Linked DNA regions of Canis lupus familiaris. The protein of the gene in region 1 interacts with the protein of each later gene in a pairwise test. Links are inferred from orthologs where the notes say so. Each region holds a gene or a part of one and is shown on either strand. Other genes may lie near its edges.

The links.
Region 2: the proteins of RNF111 (region 1) and UBE2E3 interact in a two-hybrid assay, tested with the Homo sapiens proteins (2 studies listed by BioGRID and IntAct). The link is inferred for Canis lupus familiaris from reciprocal best matches to the Homo sapiens genes RNF111 and UBE2E3.

Annotation. Positions count from the first base shown.
Region 1 is NC_049251.1:24,341,426-24,345,069, forward strand, and holds part of RNF111 (E3 ubiquitin-protein ligase Arkadia), read left to right. Parts: intron 1-940; coding exon 941-1,033; intron 1,034-1,777; coding exon 1,778-1,873; intron 1,874-3,101; coding exon 3,102-3,229; intron 3,230-3,644. UniProt on the Homo sapiens protein: E3 ubiquitin-protein ligase. Required for mesoderm patterning during embryonic development. Acts as an enhancer of the transcriptional responses of the SMAD2/SMAD3 effectors, which are activated downstream of BMP.
Region 2 is NC_049257.1:24,551,562-24,555,668, forward strand, and holds the start of UBE2E3 (ubiquitin-conjugating enzyme E2 E3), read left to right. Parts: upstream 1-1,259; 5' UTR 1,260-1,264; coding exon 1,265-1,461; intron 1,462-2,566; exon of another isoform or gene 2,567-2,894; intron 2,895-3,505; exon of another isoform or gene 3,506-3,527; intron 3,528-4,036; coding exon 4,037-4,107. UniProt on the Homo sapiens protein: Accepts ubiquitin from the E1 complex and catalyzes its covalent attachment to other proteins. In vitro catalyzes 'Lys-11'- and 'Lys-48'-, as well as 'Lys-63'-linked polyubiquitination.

The DNA of each region.
Region 1 (3,644 bases):
AATGAAGCTTATCTATATATATTTTGTCCATAAGGCATATCACACAGTCTTCTTGCACTTAGGAATACTAGTCACCAACACTTAAGCTTGGTGGCCATTTTAAACAATAAATCATCAGTAAAGAGCGCAAAAATGGAAAACATGGCACTTAAATAGATCACAAAAAAGACTCATGTTTATAGTATGAGTGCTGAATAAGAAGACAGAGCCTTGTTCTACCCTAGCGAGGAACATGTCAGACAATTCCAATTTTGTTGCTGCTGTATATGTGTCCATGAATAATTGAGAGAGCATAGGTATTGATTTTGTAGCTAGAAATAAATTTTATCAAGTAGGCAAATTCATGAATAATGAGGATTGAGTATGCCTAGGAAAAATTAGAAAACACTATTAAAACTTTCACTAACAGAACTAAGCAAAAAAAGGATCAGGGTACCTTTGGTATAGAGGAGGGGAAATAAGTTTTGTTGGAAAATTTTGTGCATTTTTGTTTTGTAATATGGTTTGTTTTTTTTTTTGTAATATGGTTTAATAAAGGTCTCTGAAATTGACAAAATTTACAAAAATTTTTATATGTTTAGGCTACCAAGAGCATCAGTCTTAACTTTGGGTATTTTTTTTTTTTTTTTTTAACTTTGGGTATTTTCTACTTAGGATTCTTTGTGCAAAATAAATCAATAGAAGAAACCTGTTTTCCCATGGAACAGCTTTTTTTTTTTTTTTTTTTTTTTTCTGCTTGTATTTTAATAGTTATTCTGTGAGATTATATTTGAAGAGGAGCTTAACCCTTTTATAGAGTGCTTAGTTGGAGTCATGTATACTTATGGAAGTTGAATTTTGTTAGTAGCTGAATGGAGAGAATTGAGTGTCTGAATTATTTAGTGTGTTAAAACTCAAGCCTACTCTTACTTGATTTAGTCTATGTCTTCTATTAAAATAGGTTCCTGACATGGCAGGCTATCCTCATATTCGTTACATTTCATCAGGATTGGATGGAACATCATTCAGAGGTCCTTTCAGGGGCAATTTTGAGGTATGTAATACAAATAATGAAGACATTTGCCATAATATCTTTAATGTAGAGAGAGAATATATGTATTATTAGTATTCACTAATAGGACTGAGTTGAGTAGGACTGTTGCACTGGCTGGGAATCAGAAAGCAGCATAATGTCTGAATTTTTGATACTTCTGCTGGGGGTTATCACAGAAAGGTTTATAAGCAATATTAATCCACTTATTTAAAGATGAGTAAATGAAAATAATATAGAAATTTATTAAATCAATATAAATATCAGATAAAGAGCTATACCATTAAATGTGGGTGGAAAATCTCAACTGCTTTTGACTAAGCTTATTTTTAGAGAAACATTACTGGACAAAAGAAACTTAAGTAATTCAGCACATAGCTAACTATCTTGTTTGAATTTTCAGGAAGAACAAATCATTTGAGTATGATTTGAAGTTTTGTTTCTTCATGTCACTTTGAAAGTTCCTTTGATTCATTTCCCTATTTTTCTATAATGATTTCATCTTCTCCATGCATACATACTGACTTTATATAGTAACATGTAGTAATATGTTGTCCTTATCTGTAAGGATAACTTTGCCATACTACTACAATTGGCTGAGAAAAGAATTATAAACATTTGCCTTACCATATATGGCTTTTGTATTTATATTGCAGGTTTATAAATATGGAACTTTATTGCTTTTACAGTATTAACAGTGTTCACAAAATAATCATCCTGGCTTTTGATACTAATCTTTACCTTCAGGAACTGATTCATTTGGAAGAAAGATTAGGAAATGTGAATCGTGGCGCATCCCAGGGGACAATTGAAAGATGTACATATCCACATAAATACAAAAAGGTAAGAATTTATCCTATGAAATGTCTATTTTATTATTAAATTGCATAAAATTTAATATTATGGACCTTTTTTGAGATTGTGGAGTCTAGCAACTACATTATTTATTACCAAAACAATACATAGTTCTTTTAAATTATTGAAGGTCTAAAAATACATCCTTGAAGTTACTTTACCCTGCTGACCCAAGTCTTCCCTCCAAGAGTAAAAATCATAGTTAACACTTTTTTAGGTAAGCTTTACTATAATATGCATAAAATGCATATTTTTATGCATTTACAGTAATGTCACTATGTATGGATTTTTTCTTTCACCTTCGAAAGTAACAAAGGGGTTGATATACACACAGTTTTGCACATTTCCTATTGCTTCTCTTTCAGCATTCACAGGTCACCCATATTCTTTTTAATAGTTTATATAAAATTTCATTATATGGCAGTACTACAGTTTTTTAAAAATATTTTATTTATTTATTCATGAGAGGCACAGAATGAGAGAGAGAAGCAGAGACACAGGCAGAGGGGGAAGCAGGCTCCATGCAGGAAGCCCGACATGGGACTCGATCCCGGGTCTCCAGGATCACACCCTGGGCTGAAGGCAGCCATTAAACCTCTGAGCCCCCCAGGCGTCCCAGCAGTACTATAATTTAACCTCGCCATTTATTTGGACATTTAATCTACATTTCTTATATTCTGCCCTCAATTTCTTATGGAGTAGTATATCTAGAAGTCAAGGAGCAAATCTATAAGTTTCTTTCAATAATGTCTTCTGCTACACAGAGAATGAAAACAACTGTTCTTTGTATTTTTTTGTTTTCTAAGAGTATTAGTGAGGTGTTATCATTGAATTTAAGTCCTTTCAGCTATGTAAGCTAAAGACTATAATTAGCATTAATTTATTTGGATATTTGAAATACTCATTAGTAAAATAAAGTTCATTTACCTGTACTCATGATGGGACAAAAATAGTGTTTATCTTGTGTATCATCCTAATTGTGGATTAAAAATAATAGAAACTAATGAATTCCTGTTACATTTGATTATGCTTTTGATGCTGTTTAAGGGCCTTATAAACAACAGTTGGTGGTAGTCACTTAATTCACCATTAATTCATGACAGCCATACCTGGGAAATAAGTTGTGGGTATGAATGTGTGGTTTTGTTTTGTTTTTGTTTTTCAAATAAACACAGACTTTACTCAGTTGTTCAATAATGTCATCTCTACTAATAAGGTAACAACTGATTGGTTCTCACAGAGGAAACTGCACTGCAAACAAGATGGGGAAGAAGGGACTGAGGAAGACACAGAGGAAAAATGTACTATCTGTTTGTCTATTTTAGAGGAAGGTGAAGATGTGAGGTAACTAGACATTAATTATTTAAAAACCTATTGTCAAAATTGTACAAGAGATTTTATTTGAAAGAGGACTAGAAACCAAATACAGATTACTCCTGGCATACCCTATTACCAATACCTGACAGATAGAATTGCCTTTTTACAGCGAGTGGAAGAATAGAAAGATGAAAGTCTTTGTATTACCAGCAGAGGGGTGGGAATGGGAAGTATACTGCCTCTTTTAGGGGCCCACCAAGATTTGGCCAGGAAAATTTTGTAATCAAATTGTCTTCTTTAAATCTTTCAGAAAGGAGAATTTGGAGGCTTCAGAACTTAAGACAGTTATATTAATGTGTTCTTCAAAGCTTAAAGAAGGCAGTCCTGATTAGCTCCATGCAGTGTGTTTTACAGCATCTTTCATAAATTAGTTGTGTCCTAA
Region 2 (4,107 bases), on another chromosome or scaffold:
GCTTTGGTCATCCCCTAAGTACTGGCTATTGAGCAACTATTATGTGCCAGCTACTGTGCCAAGAACATCATCTATATTATCACCTATTCATTCCTCCAGGCCTAGCTCACTGTTCTTTTTAACCCACCCATGACTTATGTCCCCAAGCCGAATTAATAATGCCACTACCGGTGGACTGGTCATTAAAACACTCTACTCATTCTGTTCACTCCTTGAATGCAGCTCTTCTCCCACAGCCCACGCTTCTACCTGTCCCCCTCAGTTCCTCAGTCCTCCTGAGCTGGACAGGACCAGCACCCACGCTTTATTCCAACTTCCCAGCATCTGGTAGTCCCCACGTGCCACATTCCGTTGAGTGGAACCACATGACTTCAAACTCTTGGAAGAATCCCGTAATTGTTGAGCAGGAGGGCGCCTGGAACCTCCGCTGGCTACAAGCTCCTTTCACACAGGAGGAAATTTAGGTTCGCACAAGTAACTTGCCTGAGGTCACGTAAACCTGATAGGACGAAATCAGAATCCAGTTCCCTTGCTTTTCAGCCCAGTGTAGATGCGACCGAGACACAACTAAGTATCTGTATTTCCCAATCTCCTGGCCCCACCCGAATCCTATCAGCAACTGGCCTTTGGACCTTCAGGCTATTTCTGTGATAATCTATTTTCTAAAAGAGCCCACTTCCATACACAGCTTTTCTTTCAAAGCTCCGCATTCCAAACAGGAAAGTCCAAACTCCAAATGGGCTGGCTTGAGCCCTTGAGCCGCAGCATCGGTGTAAAAGTTGGGGGTGGTGGTGGTGGTGGGGTGGGGTGGGGGGGGCCCTTCTGTGTATATTTTTACCAAGTTCTGTCCACATGCAGCCTTTGATCCCCACAAATCAAAACGCTTGTCAACACACAGAGCAGGCTCCCTCTTCCCCATCTCTTGAGACCTGGCGGTTGTGCTGACTCGAGGATCCTTCCTCCTCACCAACCTGGCGAACCCCAAGGATCTGTTCCCCTCCTGGACAGCGAGCTGGCTTGGCCCTCGCACCGTCCCAAAGGTGGACTGTGTGTGCAGCACCGAGCAGCAGGGTGCACCGCGTGCCTCTGCATCTGGAAAATTACAGAAATGTGACTTACTCCTCGCAGCTGTACGCAACCCTTAGCCCAAACTTTCCTACTTGTTGGAGAAAGTAAGTAAAATATGTTGGTGCATTCGGTTCCCCCCCCCCCGCCCCCCCCGCAGATTTCTTCTCTTTCTTGCTTTGAGTCCGGTTGCTCTGTTATGGCTGCTGGTCCCGCCGCCTCCGGGAGCTGCACAGGCTCCAGCACCCCTGGCCCTGGCCCTGCCCCTGGCCCCTGGCGGGACAGGGATCCGCAGCTTCCCGCGGGGCTGCATCCCTGGAGCACGTTCCCAGGAGCTGGAGGACATCTGGGCGGCCCACAGGAAGTTCTGGTACTTCGGACCCCAGAGCAGAGAAGGTGCTGGAAGGGGACAAGACCGGCCCGGAGGACGCCCCTCCGAGGCTGCCCCTGCGCGCACGCTCCGACCCGGCGTGGCCCAGCGCTCCCCGCTCCGCTCCGCTCCAGGACGGTTGCCCGGCGTGCACGTGGGGCCAGGCCGGCGGGGGAGGCGGCCTCGGAGAGCCCCGCGAGCTCAGGCTGGGGCAGGACGTTTAACACCCCCCCTCCCCGCCCCGATTGGGGTTATTTTTTAAGTTGTGAAAGCCTCCGAAGGGCTGGCTGCCCCCTGGGCGCGCGGAGGGCCAGAGCCAGGCAGAGCGCGGGGCCCTGGGCTGCCAACCCTTCCTTCCTCCTCCTTCGATGCCCTCGACCTCGTGTTGGCCTTGGGGCTCCGGGGCGGGCCAGGAGCAGCGCGTCCCCGCCTCCGCCCTCCCGGGCCCGCTCCACGACCCCCGCAGGCTCGCGGCCTCCCAGGGCGGGGGCTCCTCGGGGCGCGCCCTCCCCCCCGGGGCGTGCACGGAGGCGCGGCGGGCGGGGGTGCGGGGTGCGGGGTGCGGGGGTGCGCGGTGCGCGCGGGGGCGGGTGGCCCAATGGGCAGCCTCGCTCGGGAGGCGGGCTCAGGCCGGAAGCCGTCCCCGCGCCCCCGCCCTCCCCGGCCGAGGGCTGCAGGGTCCCCGCCCGCGCTCTTTGTCCGGGGCCCGCGTGCGCCCCCGCATCGCCGCGTCCCCCGCGCGTCCTCCGCGGAGCTCCCGGCCCGGGGGCGCGGGGCGCGGGGCGCGGGGGGCGGGAGGGCGCGCGGGCGGGAGGCGCTCGTGCCCGGCGGCCCCGGGAGCGCGCGCCCCTCCGCCCTCCGCCCTCCGCCCTCCGCCGCCGCCGCCGCCGCCGCCGCGCCCGCCCCTCCCCCTCCCCGCCCCTCCCCTCCCCTCCCCTCCCCCTCCCCGCGGCCGCCGCGGAACTTGCTGACTGCGCGGCCGGGAGGAGCCGAGCCGGGCGGCGGCGGCGGGAGGCCACAGCGCGCGGGGTGCCCGCGTCCCCGGGAGCGCGCCCTCCCCCGCAGCCCGCGCCCGCAGCCCTCGCCCGCACGCTCTATTTATTATTTATTTATTTATTTCTCACTATTTATTATTTATTTCCTATCGCCTCGGCATCCTCGTCCTCCTCCTCCTCCTGCGCCTGTCCGCCTCCGCGGCCCTCCCCGGCCTCCGCGGCCCTCCCCGGCCTTCCCCGCGCGGGCCGGGCGGCGCCACCCTCCGGCCGGAGCGCGGTACTGCACGGCCCCCGCCGACTCTCGATGTTCCACGCTCCCCGGCCGGAGCCTCCGCGGCTTCTTTTTTCCCTCCCCCCCCTCCCGCCCCCCCCGCGGCTGCCTCCATTTCCTCAAGGAAGGGTTTTTTTCGCTCTCCCTCCCCCACAGCGTAGCGGCGCGCGAGCGGGCCGGGCGGGCGGCCGAGGTGAGGCGGCGGGGCCGGGGGCGGCGGGGGGCGCGGGCGGGGGCGGGGCGGGGGCGGCAGCTTTGTTCGCGGGCGGCGGGCGGGGCGCGGGCGGGGGCGCGGGCGGGGGCGCGGGCGGGGCGGGGCGGGGGCGCATCCTCGGCGGCCCCCGGGCGCCCTCCCCACAAAGGCCGCGGGGCTGCGGGGCGGCCGCGGCTCGCCGGCGCGGGGAGGTGCTGCACTTCTTGCGGCTTTTGTTTGTTTGTGTTTGCCTCCTCTTTCCCCCCTTTTTTTTTTTTTTTTTTTTTTTTTTTTTTTGGTTATTTCTGGACAAAATGTCGGTCCGCGATGCGAGCGCGGAGCGGGGGGCCGGGGCGGCGCGGGGAGCTCGGCGGGCGGTGCAGCCGGGCGCCCGCTGCGCCCGCGGGGCCGCTCGGGGGAGCTCGGGGAGCTCGGGGGGAGCCCGCCCGGGGCACCGGCCGCCGCCGCCCCCCCCCCCCCCGCCCCCCGTCCGCGCCGCGAGGGCCGGCGTGCACCGAGCGGGAACCGCCACCCCGAATGCGCGCGGGGGCCATCGGCGGGGTCCGCTCTCCTGCTGCAGCAGGGGGATTGCACGGTCTGCCTGGACCCTTGTCAGCGCCTAAATATTGAGACGTTAGTGACTCCTCTCTCCTCTCTCTCTTTTTTCTTTTTTTTTGCACATTTTTCAGCCCCAGCTCTGTTATGCACAAGGTGTCCTCAATGCTCGTCGCCTAAGTTCCCTGGCAAATCTGTCTCATGCCTTCTGAGAAACTACACAATTGATAGATTGTCCAAGGGATGGTGGGGGGGGGGGGCGGGGGAAGGACAAAAAAAAAAAAAAAAAGAAAAAATGTGAGTGGGGTGTTTTGTTTGTTTGTTTGTTTTTCTTTTTCTTTCTTTTCTTTTTTTTTTTTTTTTTCTCCGAACTTGAGTTCGGCCAAGGCTTGAACGTGGTGAGACACACCACCTCCCCGTGTAACCTTGCTGGGTGATGATGAGATCAGTGTGAGCACTGGCAAGTGTTTCTCATTAAAATGCGAATGTAGGGGAACCTTGGGAGGAGAACGTGCTGTTGTTGGTTGATCCCTCAGGCTTAATATTTCCTTTCTCTCTCTTTTTTTCTCCCCCCCTCTCTTTAAAAGTTTTCTAAGAAATAAGTTCACCAAGATGTCCAGTGATAGGCAAAGGTCCGATGATGAGAGCCCCAGCACCA